Neurospora crassa OR74A: one gene and its partner. The protein of the gene in region 1 purifies or fractionates together with the protein of each later gene. This does not show direct contact. Links are inferred from orthologs where the notes say so. Each region holds a gene or a part of one and is shown on either strand. Other genes may lie near its edges. The genes, in order: prk-2 and NCU06039.

What was found.
Region 2: the proteins of prk-2 (region 1) and NCU06039 purify together in Saccharomyces cerevisiae (affinity purification with mass spectrometry; 3 studies listed by BioGRID). This does not show direct contact. The link is inferred for Neurospora crassa OR74A from reciprocal best matches to the Saccharomyces cerevisiae genes YAK1 and YPL247C.

What each region holds. Positions count from the first base shown.
Region 1 is NC_026503.1:1,185,030-1,196,570, reverse strand, and holds prk-2 (protein kinase Yak1), read left to right. Parts: upstream 1-4,202; 5' UTR 4,203-4,464; coding exon 4,465-5,307; intron 5,308-5,365; coding exon 5,366-5,565; intron 5,566-5,619; coding exon 5,620-5,779; intron 5,780-5,838; coding exon 5,839-6,577; intron 6,578-6,629; coding exon 6,630-7,504; 3' UTR 7,505-7,932; downstream 7,933-11,541. Other genes in the region: NCU07871 (hypothetical protein), read right to left, coding at 8,249-10,741; NCU07870 (DNA polymerase alpha catalytic subunit), read left to right, coding at 11,525-11,541. UniProt on the Saccharomyces cerevisiae protein: Negative regulator of the cell cycle acting downstream of the cAMP-dependent protein kinase. Part of a glucose-sensing system involved in growth control in response to glucose availability. Phosphorylates POP2.
Region 2 is NC_026507.1:2,007,824-2,019,496, reverse strand, and holds NCU06039 (WD repeat protein), read left to right. Parts: upstream 1-6,124; 5' UTR 6,125-6,728; coding exon 6,729-8,043; intron 8,044-8,108; coding exon 8,109-8,572; 3' UTR 8,573-8,831; downstream 8,832-11,673. Other genes in the region: NCU06035 (elongation factor 1-beta), read left to right, coding at 1-11; NCU17225 (hypothetical protein), read left to right, coding at 1,217-2,219, 2,393-2,430; NCU06037 (hypothetical protein), read right to left, coding at 2,840-3,209, 3,358-3,830; NCU17224 (hypothetical protein), read left to right, coding at 4,289-4,747; NCU06038 (ribosomal protein L36), read right to left, coding at 5,174-5,269, 5,394-5,672; NCU06040 (hypothetical protein), read right to left, coding at 9,508-10,441, 10,498-10,618, 10,687-10,867, 10,932-11,321.

The DNA of each region.
Region 1 (11,541 bases):
AGCGGGGATGATAAGCTTGTTGTGGGACGGAAGAAGGTGTTACGGAGATCGTTCGATCATGACAAGAATTAAGTCCCGTATGCAACGCGTGATAATTATGCAATAGGTGTATGGGACGAAAAGTGAAGGGCAAAGCCATCCCAAGCCTTTTAGGCACGTGGCTTCTGAATGTGCTGATAATGGTCCAGACAATTGATGTCCTGCTGAGCAAGCAGCTGTGGTTCAAGCCGTCTGGTCTTACGGTTCACCTTCAGGTGTAACCCTCTGCCCGTATCTGAGGCAAACATTTGAGAACTAATCGCTTAGTTACCTAAACACTCCTCCATGGAGCCAGACTAACAAGCTCGAAACCTGCGATTTGTTTACCTATTTCTGAGATATGCCACAGGATAGCTGGGCGCGTCGTCCATAACAAATTTGATGAGACCAATCCTCTGACCAGCCCTCTGGTCAGATAGATCAATCCGATACCACTTCTGATAATCATGAAAGGCCGTTGCAAAACTGTGATAGGGAATACGATAATTCGAAAAGACATCGGCCAGAGTCCTTTTGGCATGGTTCTATACAGGAATTACCTGGGAATCAAATTCAAAGGAGTTGTCAAGACGCTTCGGCTACGTAGTGAGAATATACCCAAGGTGTAATGTAATGTCCAAGGTTTCAACCAACAATCTTATCCAGGAACGAGGGCGCTTACATCCAGCCTTGAGAGCGATTGGGATGCAATTACATATGAGCGCTTATCAGGGTTAGGGTTGTCTCGTCACAGGTGAACAATGTCACATCCCAAATCATCATCCCTGGGCTTTTGGACAGCAACAAGTTGATGCCCAATCCCAATCGATCCCATGAACCGAACGAACCAAACCACCACCCGCACCCATGCTGATCTCACATGCCTTGCTAGTACTATGGTAGGTTGCAACTTACTCCGTGTTACACGCACTGCGCGAAATCCCCAATTTGACGGGAGTAAATGGTAAAAAACAAATCCCCCCCCCCCCCCCCCCCCCCCCAAAAATGTCAAGGGACTCTGACTGGGATATGTATGTTGGCTGGTCCGAGTACATAATATTATTTTGTCTTCACCATATGGTGGTTGATACAAATTGGTGATGCGTGTGAAACGAGACACACGGACCAGGATGGATATCATGCACTGAAAGTCGCGACATCCCCAAGGCTCGACGGTCTGGTCGGAGAGGCCAGAGGTAGAGGCAGAGAGGATATTGGAAGTCAGATTATGTAGCTACATAGTACCTAGGACTAGACTCAGTCAGACTCCCAGCCGTTGTCAGCTCGTTTCCAAAAGCGGTGCAGGCGTTTGGAAAGAGTCATTGGTCCACGCTGTCACTGACGACCCTCTGATATCCGCCATTTTTTTATTTTTTTTTTCATCTTTCCTGATGGTGTATGGTATTAGTAGCTTGCTGCAGTTGGTGGTGATGGCCGTCGGTGTGTTTAGAATTGGGACAGATAATGGAGTGCGTGGATGGGAAAAAGGGACGGATGGAAAGCAAAGTAAAGTAAAGCAATGGTATCTGGACACGGTTTGTTTGTTTGTCCGAGTAAGTAGTGAATGCAAGGAAGCATTGAAGCAGTCAAGAAAGATATGATCTCCCACCGACGACGATGATACATATGTACCGTCATCTTTCGTCGTGGTCGTGGCCAGGGAAATTTTACACTACATACATACGAGGAATAAGTCCGACAAAGGTGGGTTTGCATCCCCCAGGTCCTCAAGCCAACCTAAAACAAGCAATCACTCAACCCCCTGTCACTGCGTATGTAATCTCCTTTTAGCAGTACATATGGAATACCGCGGGGTCGTGGATCGTGGTGAGGGTGAAAGGTGAGGAGGAAGGAGCATAGGCGCTGAACGAGGGACTGCCTGGATTATGGTTGCTGATCGCCTGAACAGGATGTGGATATGGATGGGGATGGCCTCGTAAAATAACCCAACACATCGATGCGATCAGTTGCAAGGTAGGTGGGTGGATTTTGATTCGACTCTCAACTATCATATCGGTCAAAAAGGCATTTCAAAATAGGTTCGTTAGAAAGCTGCCTCTTTTCTTTCTTCGTATTGAGTACTGGTGGTGCGGAGTTGTGTGGTGTTGTTGTTGTTGTTGTTGCAGCTTGACGTTCAAGCTGGGATCGATTGATGATGTTGCTTCAGGTCAGTTCGGGTTTTTTTTTTTTTTTTTATGACCGCTTCGCCTGGATGGGCAGCGAGATGGGCTGCCCTGGCTGCTTGCAGCGTGCGTGGCCTGTCGAAACGCCACCTGCTGGAGACTGGGCAGGCACTCTTCGTTCAATCTCAAGGTCCTTTTAGTACTCCCCACTTTATCTGGATGTGTCTCAATGACGGGCATCATGAATGATCTCCGGTGGTTGTTTGCAGCTCCAACCGGACGACGAAAACGTACGCCAAGAGTTTTGTCCGATTACCACCAACTTGAAAATCATGAAGCTTCATAATATATTAGGACCCGAGATCTGCAAAGGGAGTAAGGGAAGAAACGTAACCAAAGAAGGGATGCGGTCGAGAAGAGAAAAGCCATGTCAAACACCAACCGTTGGCGCCAAAGGCGTTCATGGTCAGACCTTTTAGGTCCAGGTTGTTGGTTATGTATTGGTGAAGGTATTGGTGTTGGTGGCTATACAAATTAGCAGTACCGGCCTAACATACCGGACATTGCGGGCATAATATCAGATGTTTCACTAGACAACCGCTTGCGCTGAACTGCTCAGCCAGCTGCACGCCCACAACGATCCATCCTTCAACCTGGAAAGACACAAAAACAAAACTAAGTGCACATGAAGCGCAGATTCGAAATCATCAGGCCAGGTTAGGAACCGGCTGGCTTTCTGCACTGCATTTGGTGCATTTATTGGCAGAGGCTAAAGTTCCTACTCCTTAGAGACTGAAATTGAAGGTTCTCGACGCGGGAGTCTCAAGATCTACGTCGTCGTCGTCGTCGTTGTCAAAACTGGAGAGCAAGGGCTCCTCCACTTGACACAACATTGGCGGGCGGGGAGTCAGACTCTCACCACCCAATTCAACCCACCTGTGTTGTGTACCCTGTCTGGGCATACCTCACCATAACGTTGGGAACCCTTGAATAAATACGAAATCCACCGACTATCACGAGCAACCGGAACAGGAACCGCCTACGGATCGGTCTCGACGGAAGCCCCGTTGTTTCTGCACATGGTGCGAATGACTGCGATTTCCCTGCCGTACTCTGTGTACCTCTAGGTGTACAGCCTTGTTGCCCGGACGTGACTGCTTGGTCACTGCCTCGTCCTCATTCTCGTCCTCCTCCTCCAGGTCCTGCTGCTTTCTCTGACGTACTGTATTTCCCTTCTTCTTGATTACAGCTGGAGAAGCAACAAGCGACGGAGGCTCATTTAACTGGTGTCTCTTCCTCCTACCTGCGACCTACCTGGCCGACTGAACCCTGCCCGTAGGTCTGGCTAAAGACAGCCCGCCAACAGCCCCAAAACCTCTTCCCGGGCCGTCTCTGTTCTGCCCGTCCGTCCCAATCGTCCAACCGAACCGCGTCTAATCCACATCCACGAGACAGCCCACCACAGCTTTGTACTGCCCGAGCTGAAAGGAAAGATTTTGGCTACCAGGGATTACTTGGCATTCCTATAGGAGAGAGTAGGTTTTATTCGCAGCGCCTTGGCACCGCTTGGCCCGCTTTGCTCCTTGCGCTTTGCCCTCTCCGCCTCCCCGTACACAGGTTGTTGCAAGCAGAGAGCGGGTCCTCTCGACGGCACCAACAGCCCAGGACAGGGCACTCATCTGGCTACCTAAACTTTGAGCTGCCCCAACAGTACCAGTGGAGCCCAGAGGTAGTTACTTTAGGTACAGAGGCTACTACAGTCCAATGCTGGTTTGATTGTTAGCTTGGTACACCAGGCACTCCTACTGTACAATAATAAACATAGTATACTAGACAAAATCTATTTCGAATAGTCCTAAAGGTTAAATAGATAAATTAAAAGGTATTAGTTGGATTTAATTTGGCATTTTGAATGTGAAAGATGGCCTGCCCAAAGTAAGATTATACATTAGTTAGCTATGAAAATGCTTAGGAAAGTTGACACGAGGTCTCGAGCTAACAAACAAACCAGTACTGGACTGTACACTAGAGGTAGCAGAACCTAGGTAGCCACTGCCCACTGGTGCAGTCACTACCTCTAGTTCTAGTGCGCACCACCCAAGCAGGCAGTCCGCGGTCCGCACCTCCATCATCAGGCCCACACTTGTGACCTGCCAGCCAGCGACCCGAGTCCATCGTCTTCGAAAGCTTCAAACCCTCCCTCTCCTTCCCCCCTCTCGCGCCGACGACACCACCGGCCACCGCAACAGAATTCATTGCCAAACCAGACCCAGCAACAGCCCCGAGCCCGTCCCGCGAGCTGGCCTTCGCCCTGCCAGCAGCCATGGAGCAGCAATGGCAACCGTACTCTGACTCTGCCGCCAGCGGCTCGTCCAGGAGATACAACAACGGTTCCGGCCAAATGTCCATGTCCCCTCGAGACTACGCCAGCAACGGCCAGGTCCAGGCGCAGCAGCAGCCGCTGGCCGGATACAAGTATGATCCGTACCAGGCCGGTCTGAACCCAAGCGCGCAACCACAGTCCTCCTCCATTTCCCCAATGACGTCGTCCCAGTCGCGCGACGCCAACGGCGACGTCGCTATGCAGGATGCCCACGATCCATACTCATCCCAGAACCCTACCATCAAGTACCCCCTGAGGCCGCATCACTCTCTCTCCGGTGGTCGCCCCGCCAGCCTTAGTACGTCCCAAGAACCATCTGCTGCCGCGCAGCGATACTCGCCCATGGAGGCGCTCTCGCCTGCCTCCCAATACCCCAAGGGAAGCCAATTCTCCCCCGCCCAACGTCAATCCCCTACGCGACCGAACGAATATGCCCCGCCGCAATCACAACAGCAACAGCAGCCGCCGCAGCAGCAACAGCAACAGAGCCCCTACTACACCAGCCGTCAAGCATCCCAACAGCTTCCCCCCATCAACCCATACGCACCCGCTCAACACGACCACAGCTATCCAAACTCGGCAATCAGCTCTACCATGGACGGCTCTTATATGGACCCCAAGTCGCCGCCAAGGCGCATGAACTCGCAGTCGCAACAGATGCCCATGCCCGAAAGGACGCCAGTTCCCGAGTTTAGGAAAATACGAGGACCCCAGGACCTTCGACCAAAGATTAACAAGCAGCCGGCTCATCGACGAGCGAACCCGGAAGGCGGCTTTATCAGTGTATGTACAAGTTCGCGAGAGAAATAGCTTTGGGCAGCTTGCTAACGAACCACGGTAGCCCCTCCAAGCGCTAACAGTTCACCTCCCCGCCACCTACCGAATATGCAACCCCGGCTTCAAGTACGAGTCGTCTAGGAATCCTCGGCGCGTCCTTACCAAGCCTAGCAAGGGAGTGAAGAATGACGGCTATGACAACGAGGACAGCGATTATATCCTCTATGTGAATGACATCCTGGGCTCGGAGGAGGCTGGTCATAAGTAAGTTGCTGCCCACCACGAGTCGAGAAGCAGTCACTTACATATTTGTACCAGGAACCGCTACCTGATTCTCGATGTCCTTGGCCAGGGTACCTTCGGCCAGGTCGTAAAATGCCAAAACTTGAAGACGCAAGAAGTTGTTGCGGTCAAGGTCATCAAGAACCGAACAGCTTACTTCAACCAAAGCATGATGGAAGTGTCTGTTTTGGATTTGGTTCGTTTACCAGCATTGTTGACTTGATTGTTTGCGACACGCGCTAACCTCCTGCTCAGCTCAATACAAAGCTCGACAAAAACGACGATCACCATCTGTTGCGACTAAAGGATACATTTATCCATCGCCAACACTTGTGCTTGGTATTCGAGTTGCTTAGTGTCAACCTATACGAGCTGATCAAGCAAAACCAGTTCCGAGGCTTGAGCACGACACTGGTTCGCGTCTTTGCGCAGCAGCTGCTGAATGGGCTTTCTCTGCTCAACAAGGCAAGACTGATCCATTGCGACCTGAAACCCGAGAACATTCTCCTGAAAAACCTCGAGAGCCCGATCATCAAAATTATCGATTTCGGATCCGCTTGCGACGAACGGCAGACTGTCTATACGTACATTCAGTCCAGATTCTACCGATCTCCTGAAGTGTTACTTGGCTTGCCTTATTCTTCGGCTATTGATATGTGGTCTTTGGGATGCATTGTGGTTGAGCTTTTCTTGGGTCTTCCCCTCTTCCCCGGTTCTTCCGAGTACAACCAGGTGTCACGAATCGTCGAGATGCTGGGAAACCCTCCAAACTGGATGATCGAGATGGGCAAGCAGGCAGGAGAGTTCTTCGAGAAGAGGCAAGATGAGTTCGGCAGAAAAACCTACCACCTGAAGTCTATGGAGCAATACTCTCGGGAGCATGGCACGAAGGAACAACCTAGCAAGAAGTACTTCCAAGCCAACACACTACCCGAGATTATCAAGACGTACCCGATGCCGAGGAAGAACATGAAGCAGTCAGAGATTGACAGAGGTGAGTCGAGCGCATTCGGTGTGTTCGGCTATAAAAGCTGACCTTGTCCTAGAAATGAACAACCGTATCGCTTTCATCGATTTTGTCAGGGGTCTGCTGACGATCAATCCCTTGGAACGATGGTCGCCTCAACAAGCCAAGCTACATCCTTTCATCACCCAATCGAAGTTTACTGGACCGTTTGTACCGCCCATGAACCTCAAGTCAAGTTCGCTCAACAGATCACCAGCCCCGGGAACTCAACAGCAGATACAGGCCGAGGCATTCAGCAAGCAAAAGGCGCAACAAGCGCAAGCCAACGCCATTGCGGCAAACCAGGCCCAAAACCCTTACGGGTCGATGGCCACTGGGCAGCAATATCCCCAGCAGACCCACACGCAACCTCAGCCCTTGTATTCCAACAACAACATTTACGCTCCTGGTGGCAGCAGCAGTCACGCTAGCGCGCCTCCACCCTACGGCTCTCAGCAGGGCGCATACCCCCAACAAGGAATGCCCCAACAACAGCAGCCGCAGGTACCGCAAGTACAGATGCCTCCAGCGAACTACGCGGGCGTGTCCCAGTCAAATCTGTACGCCCAGCAACAGGCGGCGGCGGCGGCGCGCCAGAGGCAACGGTCCTCGACAATGGAGCAACAGCAAAGTGGTATTCCTGTGTCCATCCAGCGCGTCGCGAGCCATCTTGATCCCACCCAGCCAATTCGTCTGCAACCGAGCCCGGCCTACTACCCACCGCCACCAGACGGTCTCATGGGAATGGACTCGCAGCCCAGCCAAAGGATGCCGAGGAGGGGAAGCCGTGCTCAGGCGTCTGGACGGGGCCAGGGCAACAACCGCGACTTCATCAGGAACTTGGAGGAGAGGACGTTGGAGGAAGGGTTTATGGGCGGGAACGGTGGAGGTCAGGGTCAAAGTCAATGGCATTGAGCATAAATTGCTGGACCAGGGAAGGTGGATTGTGGTTGGTAGGGAAGCGGGCTTTTCGTTGTGGTTGTTGTACCATTCAGTTTGTACTCACAGATACGATACCTCTTCTTCTTTTTCTCTTTACCGAAAAAATTGTCATTACGCATCGTCACTTTTGTTGGGAGGGCTGGTTTTGTTGCCGAGCGGAATCGAACGGGGGAAGGGGGAAGAGAGAATCGGTGCAGAGTGAAGAAAGTCAGGGAGCAGGCAGATGGCAGCAGAGCAGGATTTATAGAAAGAAGTAACGATAGTATGATATGCTGCACGAAGGGTATCTTCTCTTGATGATGCTGATATGTGCTTCATGCATTTGTTCGAAAAGGAATCTCCAAGGGAGCGAGTTCAGGGGTAGGCATCCTGCCTGCATTATTATAGAACTCTCAAGCACCAACTGTTGATGTTGTTATCCTACTTACCTTTGTGCGGTTCAGTGTGTTTTCGCCGGCGAGGTTTTCTCTTGTAGTATAGTTATTTACCATTGGTCCCATGGAGCTCAGACAGATACTCCCACGAGAAAAAGGGAAAAGGGGGAGAATATGAAGAACATACTGTATTCAACCATAGAGACACACATATGTCCAACAAGACCAATTGAGGTATCAAAAAAAGTGTATTTATATATACAGTAAATGATCATCTGCCGGGCAATCATCCGGAACCAAACTAACTTACAGCCTTATCTAACAAGAACCTATCCACCATTCATCACCAGCTGGGTTTCCTCCCGCTGCTGCCCCACCGATCCTGCTGGCTGTCCCTATCCCATTTCCCTCCTTGACTCTCTCTCGACCATGACGAGCTGTTATTACTCGTTTGCTGGTACCCGTACTTGGAACTGCTCTTCTCGTCCCTCCGCAACTCGTTCCTCAAACTCCTCGTCTTGTCTCTGGGATAACGACTTTCCGTAATATCTTCCCACTCTTCCTCTTCCTCATCCTCTTCGTTCTCCTCTTCTGCCTCTTTGGGCCGTTGTGCCTGCTCCGCCTTCCTCTTCTCATTCGCAGCAACCGCCTCCTCCTTCTTCTTGTTAAGATTCCTCTCAAACTCGTTAGGCTTCGGCTGGCCAAACTCATATTCTTCCCCGGCATTACTAGCCCCCTTCTTCTCCGCTTCTCGCTTCTTCAGGCCCGCCTCCCCATACCGCTCCACCATCTTCTCTCTCCACCTACCCATCATGTCCCCGTCCTTGGCCACATACCGCTCCACCATGTTCTGCAAAATCACCCTCCGTCGCTTCAGCACTTTGAGGATTTCGTCATCGGCACACATGCTATTCAACATGACCTTGTCCATGGCACTGATCATCCGGCGAGCGGTGACCACGCACTCGGACATGTGCGCCCGCACAGCCTTCCACGCGTCTTCCGGGCTCTGCGCCTGCACACGACTGCCAATCGGGTACGAGTATTGGTTGACCATGATCCGATACGGCTGCCACATCTTGTCGAGGGCGAGTATGATTTGCTTGCCCATTGCCTGGCGGGACCCCAGGGGGTCGGTCTCGGCCATCTTCTTGATGTGGCGGAAATTTCCTTGGGCGGATTGCAAAAACAGGCGCATGGCGATGGCGTCCGGGTAGCGGGTCTTCTTGGTCATCACGTCGAAAATGGTGCAGGCGTGCGGAGAAAAGGCGTGCGGGTTTAGTTCGTCGCGGATGCAGGTCGTGAAGGCCGTCTTGAGGATCATGGGCGTGATGAACTCGGCAGGCATGGACTGGAGGACTGCCGCGGTGGCGGCGGAGCCACGACCGATTTGGAGGACGCGCAAGTAGCGGAAGTAGTTGTCCTTGTCTGGCTTGATGGAGTAGGGTGTGGAGGTGAGCAGGTCCCAGTACTTTTGGGCGAGCGAGGTGCGGCGCGTGTTGGAGAGGACGGAGAGGATCAGGGAGAGGGTGTTGTTGCCTGGTTTGGCGTAGAGGCTGGGACTGTGGGTGACGGATTTGGGTTTCTTATCGAACTTGGGCTTGGTTTCGATAGGCTGGACGGTGGGTGTGGTTGAACCAGATGTGGTGGTTTTCGTTGGTGTCGTTTCTGGTGCTTCTGAGGCGGTGGCTTCTGGAGAGGCTGCTTCAGATGAGACCACTGGCGTGGTGGTTATGTCTACGGCCTTAGCGGTCACTTGGGCAGCTGCCTTCTCGCCAGCATGGAATCGCGGGAGCTGCATGGATGAGGACAGAAGCTCAAAAACTCTTTCGTTGTCTTCCTTGGTACCCAAAGTCAGGAGCCTTCCAAAGGAACAAACCAATTCCTCGTCGATCATGAGGTTGGCCTTCTTCCATTGACGCTGTACATCCTCCCATATTTGCAAGCCCCTGTTGATGGCCTCTTGTTTCTCCCGGTTGATATCTTCTTGGTCGCGCTGCATGGGATCCCGATCGAGTGGCAGTCGTGGGTTGAATTGGGCCCGAAGGGCATTGAAGATGATTGTATAGGTCAGGTTGTCGGGCTTGCGCGTGCTTTCGTTGGCTGTTTGTACTGTCGTGAACATGCTGTCCAAATCGCCGGCGCGGGCACATGTCTCGAGGACAGCGTTAAGATGAATTGTGGTTGGCTTCACGCGCTCATTCCTGAGCAAGCTGTGGTAGATCTTGACGGCTTCTGCAACTGCCTGCTTGGGGTGCTCGCTCATGGCGCAGCCTCGGAAGATGATGGTGTAAGTCCTGGCATCTGGAACCTGGGCGCGCTTCTTCATCTCGTTGTAGATCTTGATGGCGGCAGACAGACGCTTGTTCTTCATGTGGTAGTCGATCAGATGGTTCCACGAGACTTGGACCTTTGCGTTCTTGCTGGCCTTGCGGGTGAGAACAAGGGCCTCTTCATATTTTCCTTTGTCAAGGGTCAACTTGACCTGCTTCTCGATGTGGAAGGGATCCTTGAAGTGCTTTAGTTGTAAAGCCGCACTGCGCTCCAGCTTCTTCCGCTGCTCGTCGCTCAGGTCCCTCTTCTTCCTCTTCCCTTCCGACCCGTCTCCATCTTCTTCCCCTTCCGGCGCTTCGAGATCGAGGGTAACGGAGGGATCGGCGGCAGTCTTTGGCTTGAGGGCGGGCAAGTGGTAGGATCGTATGGTGGTCGTGGACTGGCTTGGTGTAAGTGCGCCTAACCTTGGAAGGGCCAGACGAGATCCAACTGCAGGCGCATTTATCCTAGCCAAAGCTCCAGGAGCCAGGCCTTTCCGCAGACAAGCCCGGCACACAAACATGGTTTGCGGACAACCGAGTTTGCCCTTGATTGTTTTGAATCTTTTTCTTCTGCGAGGTACGGGCCGAGGTACCTGTGTTGCTAATGGTCGGTTGGTGGGGTATCTGGATCGTCGAGTTTCCTGTGACGATTTCCTGTTGTTCTAGACAACTTTGAGAATTGGGCGATGTGGTATCAAAGCTATGGCCCGGGAAGAAATCGATATTTGGTATTTTGCTGCGGCGGGCGCACAACTGCCCTGGACTCTGGACGGAGGATGATGCTGAGATGGAGACCGTGAATGATGGCCAAAAGTTAGGATGACATTCCGAAATTTTGGAGACTGATCTACAAAAATGCCTGCCGCGGCCTTTTGCACTTGTGGAGACGCGGTGGGTCGGGGGTCGGCATCAGGTACACTGACAGGGGCCCCGTTGCTGAAAGGTACGTACACTATGTACGTGGGCCACTACGTTGCTTTCCTTAGGTATCCGCTTAGGCCAAAGCAGCAGAACTGCCCCACCTCTTAAACACGACCGTGACGGGGACAAGGGTTCGCGCTTACAGTTTACAGTAAAGTACGCGACGAGTAACGAAACTAAACGCGACTTTCTTTTTGTTACTGGAGGGGACCAATTGAACCCTGTAATCCCACTATATTTCTCTTACGACTCTTGTCACCAACACTACCACATCACGGTGGCCCCGTCGACATTCTCTCCAGAGTGTTGGCCTGGTGCTCCTCTGTTGTCTCGTCACCATCCAATCTCCAATCCTAAAGGCAACATCACAACGGCCTGTCAAAATGTCCAGACGAGTAGC
Region 2 (11,673 bases), on another chromosome or scaffold:
AGAAGCTCTAAGCTTTGGCTGAGAGTTTGATTGCAGAGGAATGAACAAGTTATGAATCTAATGATACCAGATGTTGCCATTTGAATGTCTGTTCATAAATGCTTTGAGCCGTGCTTGTGTTCTGATGTGACCCTTTGTACGAGGGTAACGAGACCACTCTACATCCTTGATCGCGAGCGTTTGATTATTGGAGTGACGGGTTAATATCTGTTGAGGCGATCGCGCATGGCCTAGAGCGGTGTGTCCGTCCTGTTGCGTACTTTGACGACTGGGCTAGGGCCATCAAAAATCAATAGGTATGTGCGTGAACATGCCAAATACAAGTTGAGAGGGTCGAAGCTGAATTGTTACGCCGAGGACATGAAGATGGCAGCAATGACGAAAAGATAGGGTCTCGGTCGCTCTTGGCTCATCCTTGCAGTGGTCTCGGTCTTTTTCTTCAACCTGCGCAAGTCACTGCAATTTTCCAGCTGACTATGAGCGAGTGAAAGGAAGACATATGATGTCGATGAGCTTAGAAATGGAGCGTTGGTCAGAGGGAAGGTTGACAAAGCAAAGCACAAGCCACACCTCATGAACTGGAAGACAGTAACTACTAATTCGCCAAACTCGGATATCCCTTCTGGGCTTCTTAAGGAGCATCGTATACCTTTTTATGCCTTGTCGTAACGCCAGGCTATCTGCGCGAGGCAAGCCTGCCATGAGGTTGGCACAAAATTGACACAACGGATTTTGGTACGAGTTCGAGTGTATCAGACAAACGCAGGATCCGGTGAAGTTGCACCTGGTGAGCGACGACTTCCTTTTGCACGCCACCGGCGGCTTCTTGAGAAACCTTACTGATGAACCGCAGCTGCCACGCGATGCCGCCAGGTTTGGCTTCGAACTGAAAGGTGCTCCCCAATACTAACGGCTGCGTCAGGATTAGGAACAGAATGTCGGGGGTGAGCTGAAGGGCTGCACCATGGACTTCGCTTACACGTCTCTGTCACGGGGGAAAGAAAATCATATTATTAAATATCCTAATACCTCGTCGTTTATAACCAAGGTGCTTCGACTTTGCCAAATCCCCATTCCTCGTCTACTCTTTACCCTTCTTATTGTTCTTGTTAATCACTACCGTAGTCCTCATCTCAGAACCCCGGGCCAGAAGAAGGACTACCGTCGGCAGCCAAATATACAAGTCATTCTTGCAATTTTAGGAGAATCAATCGAAATGATAGAGGGAACTTTTGCTGTCAACGTTCATGACTCTCACCTCGGCCTTTTACGCCTCTGCCTCAGGGCCATTGGCTGTTCCTTTGCGCTTCCTGTCGCCTTGGCTGTGCTCTGCAAGAAGGCTTTGTTCGCATCACTGGAGATGATCTTCCATGTTCTTATCCGACTCCACTGCCTCTTTTCTGCCCGAGCCAGTCAACACCTGGCCATTGAGATTCAAAAGCAGGTTCATCAGTATGCTAGCCCGAAGAGCTCTACAGACAGCCTTCCTTCGCTCATCTCACCCGGTTCGTTGACATACAGCTCACACATCGGCGACCTTGACCTCGATCCCAACAACGACGACGACAATGAGCTCCCTTCGCTTCCTTATATCCCTCCGACACCCGAGGATACCAAGCGATGGGTCGAACTCTCTGCTGAAGCCCGTCACAGGGTAGCAAATGTGCAGCATGACGGTTTGAACTGGATGTCATGGAGTCCGCCCCCGAGTCCCCGTTTGCCGTCGCGTGATCTGCCAAAGGGTATCCCGGAGTGGAGGGAGGAATGGAGCGACTTCGACTTGCCTCCGAATCCTCTAGACATCCCGACGTCGGAGAGATTGAGACGATGGTGGGGTGAAGCTACTGAAGAGGACCGCGCCCGGATCAATCGTATCAGCACTGACGGGTTGAACTGGCGGACGTGGGACCCTCCTTCCCAACCCTCCTGTGACGGAGAGCCAGTCGTTTGGTCTGGGATTGGCCCTTGGGTTTCTGGAAATGGCGACGATGGCCTTCCATACGGAACATGTGCGACTGGTAACATCGAACAGACGTTGCACAAGCCGACAGTGGACCGGCAGTCACATGCACAACGACACCCTCAGAATGGATTGCCATCTTGGGAAGAGCTCCCATCCTCGCATGAAGTGCTTGAGTTTGCCGTTTCGGATACAGTTCACGCAAACTTGTTGCTGGTTGTTGCACTCACCTCGGCAGCAGAGCAATCTCAGGACGACAGTAAGGCAAGTTTTTGTCAAGCATCGTACAAAGAAATAGAGCGGATGTCACACAAGGGATGACCTGGATATATACGGATGGGCCATGTTGGTTTTTGTGGGCTCCTCGTCTGGTTGGTGAATTGACGACGGTTTCGGTTTTTGGATTGGATCAACATGGACGTGAATTTTTAGACCTCTCTTCGAAGCGAAACTTGGGACAGGTCACGTAAACGTGAGTATTACTCGTGCTTGGTTTGCACAGCAAGGCGCTCATTGCCGTGAGGAGATATTGCTAACGTATCGCTACGTCTTTAGGAACGACAAATTGACTTCGACTCCCATCTATGTGGCTGTTGGACGTGGAATGTTGATACCGGCTTGGAATATGCTGCATTGAAATTTGATGATGTTTGGCTGCCTCGAGCATTGCGAGACGATTTCAGGCGCATGACAATGACTTTACACGACTGTCGCAGCGTGCATGCTTCAAGGCTACGGCCTGCAGAGAAAAACGTCACAAGAGAAGCGAATTAGTATCATTGTATATATTTTCTTAACGTGACATAGGGGCCTACATCAGTCTAGACCACAAAACCACTGTTTTTCAGGAGTCGATATCTCCACAAACACAATATTGGCCTATGATTTCCCGTCGGAAGATGTGGATGGCTCAAGATCTGGTCTTTCGTCTTTATGGTTTTTATCTTTAGGCGAGTGATACCCAAATGCGTCGGTCTGGAATCTCTTCCGTTCAGACGGCTTGTCCTTCGTGAGCGGTGCGGAACGAACAACGGGTTTACTCATGATAACATAATCCGGCATCACTACCTTCCCTGACCGGAACTTTCTTGGTCCAGGTGAGATGTCATCCGTCCCAAACCCGTGCCTTTTGTAAAAGCCAAGGGCGCGTTTGTTGGATAGGAAACATGTCAACATCACTTTTGTGATCGGAGGCAGGTTAGTGGCCACAGTCACATGGAATCCCATCAACAGTGAACCGAGTCCGGAGCTGTGGCAGAGAAGTAGTCAGTGAGAGAACTGGTTAGTGTAGAATTACATACATGGCTATTTGGCCATATTTGCACACGATGGACCATGACACGGCGCGTGATGGAGGAATGAAAATTTTAATTATTATCGTTTTTTTGGCTTCTTACCCCTGTAACTCCGGCTTGAGATGAATTTCGTAGCAGTAGACGACCGGCTGACCTTCTTCATAGGTAGGCATCAAGGACGTGAAAGCACGTATAGAACCGGACGAGCCGTCTTTGACCAGGACGTAACGAAGATCGGGCGATCTCATTTCTTCCATCTTCTTCCTGGGTTGCCATTTATCTTTGGAGTTTTGATAGTCATCGTAGCTAGTCTCCTTGATCAGGTCGAAGCATGCTTTGAGTTCCTCCTCGCTGAGCTTCCCGGACTGGACCAAGCTAATGGTGTACTTGGTGCCGGTTTTGGGATGCGACCATTCGGTGGTCCAGGGTTTTGGTGGTAGTTGCGCTGGCGATGAGGGGTGTAGTGTTGAGGATGTTACGGATGGTTGGAGATAGTTGGCGATGAACTCTTTGTCTGTTTGGCGATTTGCCCTCTCGATGGGGCTCGTCGGCGCCCGTTGGCGTTTTGGTGCCATTGGCGTATGGGTGGTGGGATTGGATGAAGTCTGATGTCGCGTTGAAGTTGAGGTTGACGGCGTGGAACCCGAATGCTTACACAGTAGTTTCTATAGCAAGCAGTTGTAAATGACGGAAATCCTTTGCATCCTCGATTTCCACTTCCCGTCCAGGACCGCAGCACCACATAAAGCAACCGATATCAACATACAAAGGGGAGGTTAAAGCCACTTCTATTCTACGTGATGCCTCATCACACAAAGGTACTTTGTATCTGCTGCAGGGCCTTTCCTATTGAAGCATAGTGTGCATAAGTATCTTACCTCAACTTTGCTACATACCACACACTTCGATGCCAAGCCTGATCTGCTTGCTCCCTTCACTCATCCAAAGGAGTATTCTAATCAGCAAAGCTCGGGGTATGAATCAACCAATCTCATCACAGACACAAACTTCACCCTCATAACACCCCATTTCCATGAACCACTCAGCACCACTTGTACGGTGCTTGCCAGCTCTGCGGCTTTGCATTCGGGAATATGCAAGCCGCCCGCGGCCTCGTCTGGGGAACACACTGAGTTTGGAACATGTAAGTCGCTCCCACTCATCTCGTAATGAGGATGAGTTTTCCAATCTACCGTCTCTACTTAGTTTCTCCAAAGAGCCCGAGTTTTGGCCTTGTACCGCACCATCATGCGGGCGACCCGCCGGATTCCGGACCCGGCCACGCGTGCCGAGACGAGAAGGATGGCCCGCGCCGAGTTTGAGAGAAACCGCCATGTCACTGACCTTGTTCGTATTCCTCCTTGTCCGATTTCTCAATTTTGCTTGCGTCCCTTTTGCTACTGACACTGGCCTGTCTCACTCACAAGGACCACATTCGCTATCTGCTCTCGACAGGCAAGACAGAATGGGAAAATATGGAGAGGTATATTGATGGTCTGTAACTGTCGAAGAGACCATATCTCGCCTCGGCCTTCACCCACCGAAGAACCGTTCTCTTGTTCATGGGTCGCATTCCTTGTCATTTGGCTGAGGCCGTACGCGCTGGTATCATCCACACGACCAGACCGTTTCTGGGTTCGGTTTATCCCAATCTCGTTGCTGAATCGTCATGACGGGCCATCCCTTATGCTGGGCGACAAGAAAAAAAGGCCCGTTAAATGCCAGGTCTGATATACACGTCTCCGTATCGGCATGCGAGTCGGCGCTCGTTGTTCAAGATGGTCCTTTCGCCTAACGTATCGTACAGCCCAATCCTTCTATGTAGACCCGAAAATAAAACCACAAGACCAAGACCGTTGTTGAGCGCTCGTTGTACACACCATGTGCCACTCCACTGTCGATATCGTCATCGGCATGTTCACCGGTAGCCCTGGCGCTGCTTGTGTCTGGGATTCGCAGGGCAAATGATGTAGAGGTAGCCGTTTTGCCTCTTGTTGGCCTTGCGACGCACGACCTGTATAGATGTCGGGTTGACGGATCAGTCCGGGTCCCTACCTAAAACCTCCACACTCGCTGGCTTCCCAAGATATCTGAAGGGCCAGATATAAATATACATATATATATGCTGTGCTTCTCACCTTGCAATGCTCGCATCGCTTCTTGATAGCGGAGTGAACCTTCATGCCCCTCGATTGCTGCTTCGACTGCAGGCCGTTCTTGGCGCTTTGGCACACGGCGACGGGTCTGTTATGGGAGCACATGGGCGTGCAAATGTGGCGGGAGAGGAGGCCCTGAGAGAGGCATCGTGTCTGGTGTGTCGAGACAACGGTCTTGGTGGTGTTGACGGCAGTCGCGCGAGGAGCGGCGAGGGAAAGCGCGCGCATCGAGGATGCGAGCGACCGGAAGAGGTTCGACATGGTGACTGGTTGGTAATGTCGAGAGCGGTAGCCTGTAGTCGAAAGTAAGCCTTCCTGCCTGCCCGCCGTTGTTAGGTTGAATATTGACGCCGTCGAGGTGCTCGTCGCTGGGGTCGCTGGGGCGCGCGAAATCGAATTGTCTGCCGGCCCGTCAATCGACAGTGTGGGGTTTGATCAAGCAACGTTATGCGGCTTTCGTTCCGTCGGCTGCTTAAAGCGTATAAATTCCTAAACGCTTGCACCGTAAGATCTTATGTCTCTTTCGATGCAACTAAACGGGCTAAAACACACCAAAACTACCGCCAAGTACTTTCGATATGCACAGCTTACTTGCTAGTACTTGAAGTAGAGGACCAATTGAAGAGAGTTGCAGTTATTGAGTAGCTAAGCTATGTCTACACTAGTACCTTGTCCCCCGCAACCTTCACAGGGGGGCCGCTCTTCTTGACGCTGGGAGCCCGCTGTAAACCCGCCATTGATGTCGTCTCTCCAAAGTGGAAGTACACCCAACCTTCCCATCTCGTCTTCCTCCCACCTTCTTCTGCCACTTTCACGGTGACGAAACAAGCCGACAGCGAGGTGATTGTCACGGAGCTGCCGATACGGACCAGAACTGAGGCTTACCTACCTACCTCTCTCCGCCCTTCGGATATCCATACTCGTTGTGTCACTCTCTTGTGCTCTCGGTAACATCCCCGTCCTCGTCAGGCGCCCGTTCGGCTCGCACCATCACCTTCAACACCACCACCACACCGTAAACCAATTCCACCATCTCGGCGACCTTGGAAACAGCGCCCTTAAGCTCGCCCCGCCGCCCGCTTCTGCGCCATATCTTACCTATACATGAACAAGCCTCCAGCAATACCAGTCCATAACCTAATATCAAGCAGCGCCGCGCCCTGGCACTTCCCTTCTTGCCCTTTAGTCGCATCCCGCCGCTAGCGTCCACTCGAGCCAACGACCTAGGCGCCTCGCCTCCCGAACACAATCCTCAAGACCGCGACTCTTCAAGATCCTTCGTCCAAGATCTTCGTGTTGCCGACTGGCATTGGCACAATGAACCAGCAGTCACAGCAATATCAGCCGGCGCGCCGACCGAGTGCCTATGCCTCCCACGGCGACGAGCTTCACATGTCGGCACATCAGGCCCACTTGTCGTCGCCCCGCGAGTACGCGTCCTCCGGCGCACCACATATCAAGCTCGAGCAGATGCCCTCGAGCCCCCCCAACATGCAGAGCTATCAAAGCGCTGGTGCCGTACCCAATGTTCTGCAGCCCGGAGGCATGTCGTCTCGTCCGCCCGTCATGCAGTCCAACACGGCTCCCACTCTCCCCACGATGCAGCAGTCGGCCGACTACAAGTCCCACGGCTATGAGCGCTCCAGCCCTGCTACCCTGGCCTCAAATTCCTATGACGGCGGCAACTCGCCCTATTCCGCCTACAACCCGACGCCTCCAGGTGGCAGCTCTTCGTCGCAATACATGTCTCCCGCAAGCACCAACAAGTACGCGGCCGCTTCGTCATCTCGCAACGTCTCCAACACCCCGCTGGGACTGTCAGATATCCGGCCTCGGGCCGATTCCACCCTCTCTGATGGCATGCTGCCCGGTAGCCAGGCCTACGAATTGGCCAATCCCCAGTCTCGCACCAGCAACTACATGGCCCCTTGGGCTACGTACTCGTTCGACTGGTGTAAGTGGCGTCCCAGCGCAAACAGTGCCGGGAAATTGGCCATTGGCAGCTACTTGGAGGATGGCCACAACTATATCCAGATCTTGGAGGCCAATTTGACGCAGACACCACCCGATGTATACGTCCCGGGCACCTCCAAGTACTCCATGGACTTCACCCGCACCGCCGAGGCCACACACTCATACCCCGTAACGCGCCTGTTGTGGGAACCTCCTTCATCCCAGAAACAATCCACAGACCTGCTGGCTACCTCAGGGGACCATTTGCGGCTGTGGTCACTTCCAGCTGACCCCGTGGTCCCCACCAGTGGCTCTTCGATCACTTCGAGAAGCGGCCGTGACGCCCCCATCACCAAGCTTACTCCCCTAGCCCTCTTGTCCAACTCCAAGACGCCCGATCATACAGCTCCTCTGACCTCGCTCGACTGGAATACCGTTCAGCCTAGCTTAATCATCACATCGAGTATCGACACTACGTGTACCATCTGGGATATCCCATCGTTGACGGCCAAGACTCAGCTTATCGCCCACGATAAGGAGGTGTACGACGTTCGCTTCTGCGCAAACAGTGTAGATGTGTTTGTAAGCTGTGGCCAGGACGGCAGTGTGCGCATGTTCGATCTCCGGAGCCTTGAGCACAGTACTATCATTTACGAGCCCACAGGCAAGGAAGAGCGTGGTAAGTGTCACTTGTCGGCTTTCCGTTGGTCCCTATCTTTACAACAAACTGACCCATATATTTAGATGCCAATGGCGGCCGGATCAGTCCTACGCTGGCTCAGCAAACCATGTCGCACCCCCCACCCCTCCTGCGACTGGCCACGTCTCCGCATGACCAACATCTACTCGCAACTTTTGCGATGGATTCCAATGTAATCAGGATACTCGACGTTCGCCAACCAGGGCAGGCGTTGCTGGAGCTTCGGGGCCATGGGGGTTCCTTAAACTGCATTGAGTGGTCGCCCACCCGGAGAGGCACGCTTGCTTCGGGTGGTGACGACTGCCAGGTGCTCATTTGGGACTTGCTCAACCAGCCCTCCGGGTTGACCCCGGCAGGCCAGCCTGATAACGTGAGGAGTCCTGTGGCTAGTTGGCAGTGTGACTACGAGGTCGGGAACCTTGGATGGGTTCCTCCAATGGGCAATGGCGAGTATGGCGATTGGTTGGGAGTCAGCGCAGGGCGCGGTGTTTGGGGTGTTCGGTTCTAGTACGCCGATGTAAATCGAGATGGTTCCCGCTCGCGAGAACAGATACCAACCCAGGGTAGAAGGATGGGATGGGTGCATAAAATTCTTTGCGATGGAGAGCACTGTTAATCACGTTTCATACAGCCAGGCGTTTTGTTTTTCCGGGGAGGGGAAGGAAGGGGTGGGTGGGTGGGTGGGTGGAATATCCTATCGCGTAGAAGGTCATACTCGAAAAGGCACAATAAAACAGCGATTCGGCCTAGTCCGACTGCTCGTTATCACTCGACATTATCACTCGATACTGGAAGCGCCACATGAAACTAGTAAGGATTCTGTCATTCACCTCTTCATGGAACATTGGCTGGTACAGAGGAAAAAATAAAGGGAAAAAAAAACCGACAATGACCAGGAACGTGAGAGGTGTGAAAGCCACGCCATATTTAGCTACTCACCTACATCATTCCAGGGCATATTTCACGCATTGCGGAGTTTCTTACTCAGTGGATTTATTCGAGACACAAGCCACACTGGTGAATTTGTACGGAGCAGCCCCAAGGAAAATCCGTGTGCTTCTCCTGGAAACTTAATATGGGCTGAAGTTGTTCAACGGCCGGATATTCCCAATCTTCAGCAGCAGTATTCGCCCGGCAAGAATGGTCATCAAGGGTTAGACTTATGTACGTCGAGCCTTCTCTGCTTGAGGAAGACAGCCAGCACAAGTGCAGTGACCGAGCAGGCAAACGAGAACCCTAAGCAATGGTAACAGTGATCAGCAGTCCGTGCCGTAGAGACTTGCCAGAAAGAGACGCGAGAAAGGGAGTGAAGAGGGAGACTGACCGTGACTCCACCATAGACCGTCAATATACGACTGGACAACAGCATCCCTGACCTTATCGATTGCGCCGTCGATAAAGTCAACATCAGAAACCGCCTTCGATATGACCTATGGCTCCAAGTTAGCCTTGAGCCATTCCGCACAGCGAAAGACATAGCGACAAGCACAGGGTCAGGGCACAAACCTTGGCTACCTCAACGTTGTCATATCCTAGCTTCAACAGCCGAATCTCAAGGTTTCTTCGAAGCACGGTCTGCATAATCGTGTTCGCAGCCGGCAACCCAATCGTCATCCATACCGTTTGCATTAAATACATGAACGACACAGCAGGCGCCATGTGAGCCGGGTCAATGACCACCTGAAGCGAAATGAACAGCGCGCTGTTCGTGACCCCCATGCCAAAGCCTCCGGGGAAGATATACAGCGATTCGAACCAAGAGTTGGTGTTGCCGTGCCACCTCAGCATTAGGAGAAGATAGCCGATGGAGGAGCAGGTCACGGCCCAAATGACGAGGGACTTGTACCGTCCTGAGCGCTTGATGGCGGAACCGGAGATGATGCCGCCGATAGCGTTGCCCATAACGGCAGGGACGAGGTGCGCGCCCGCGACGGTGGCGGACGGCCGCGGCGTGGATGTCACTTGGAAGTAGAGGGGGACAGTGAACATGAGTCCCAACTGGGCGGCGGTTTGGAGTCCCAGGATCAAGAACGAAAGGATGGCGTCTTTGCTGTGGAAAATCTCCAGCGGCAGGATTGGCTCGGCCTGTCGCCTTTCTACTGCAATGAACAAGACGAGAAGGATAACGCTGGCACCGAGATAGACGAAAATGAGCGGGTGGGACCAGGGGATCTTGACGCCGCCGAGCTCTATGGGGAGAAGCAGGGCCAGCACAAGGGCCGCGAAAATGAACGAGCCCTTGAAGTCGATACGGCTGAACTTGCTCTTCAACTGGGTGGTGTCATCTGTCTCGTCTAGCGTGCCGGTGTGGCTGGGTAAATATGCTGAGCAAAGAATGATGGCGAGGGTTATGAGTGGCACTTGAACGCGGAACGACCTGAGCGTACTGGCGTCAGCTGGTTTCTACTATACTCGGCAGCAGAAGAGGCTTACCATCGCCATCCGACGACATCTGCCAGGCAACCTCCTAAAGATCCGCCAATGCTTCGGCCAAGGGTAGCTACGAGATTGACATACGCTCTCCACTGAGCAACTTCTCGCAGAGGAAGCAGATCTAAGGGGCAACTGGCTGTTAGTCGTCGCTGCAAACACTCTATCAGTTCATGTCAAAGCCATGCTTACCTGTGATGAGAACGGACACGAGTGCGGACATGCCAGAGGCTCCAGCACCGGATACAATTCGGCCCAGGACGACCTGCGACATTGTCTGGCCCATACCGACAATCGCACAGCCAACCATGAACATGGTATACGCGATTATCACCATCCTCTTGCGCCCATAGATGTCACTTAACTTGCCGTACTGTCCAGAGGCGGAGTAGTCAGCATACTCCCCCAAGGCTGTGTCATTCGATGATATTCCTCACCAAAGTCTGCGTGGCCGCCCCAGCTAGAGAGAAACTGATAATGAGCCAGCTAGAGTCTTTTAAGGCCTTGAACTCGGACGCAATAATTGCATGTGTTGCCATGAGAATGGACGTATCTGTCTGTGCGACGAAGATGCCTAACAGCATGACAGATATGATCTTGATGACATTCACGTGGGCGCTCTGCTTCAACGACTCGGTTTCGTCGCTTCCTAGACTCTGTTCCTCATCTCCCTCGGGAACTGGCTTGATAAATCGATTATAGATACCTTCCTCAGAAATACTGCGATAGGCGTGATAGAGGTAGTCGGAGCTGGGCTGCGCAGTGTCCCTCAAAAGAGGCTCTCGTTCTGTTTCTAAAGACGGCTGGTCCCCATGGCGTTGAACCATCTTTGCCAGTTCTTAAGCAAGAGCGTTTCAGGCCCGATGGGAATTCTGGGCCAATATAAGTACTTGTCCCCTCAAGATATCATTATGGAACATACCTTGAGATCATGGAATGCGCAAGATCACCTAAATCTAAACTCGAACTCGGAAACGCGTTCGAGGAAATACTCCCTTTTCTAAGAACTACCTGAGTGTCATCCCCACCTCTAGAGATTCATTCCGAACACGGAGGCCGACAACTCCAGAATCAGCTTATCCCCGAGATACCCTGCGGTACATGAAAGGCCGAGATAATCACGACATAAGTGTCTGGATTTCGTTAGACGGGCCCTTGTATTGCGAACAAGATGCTACC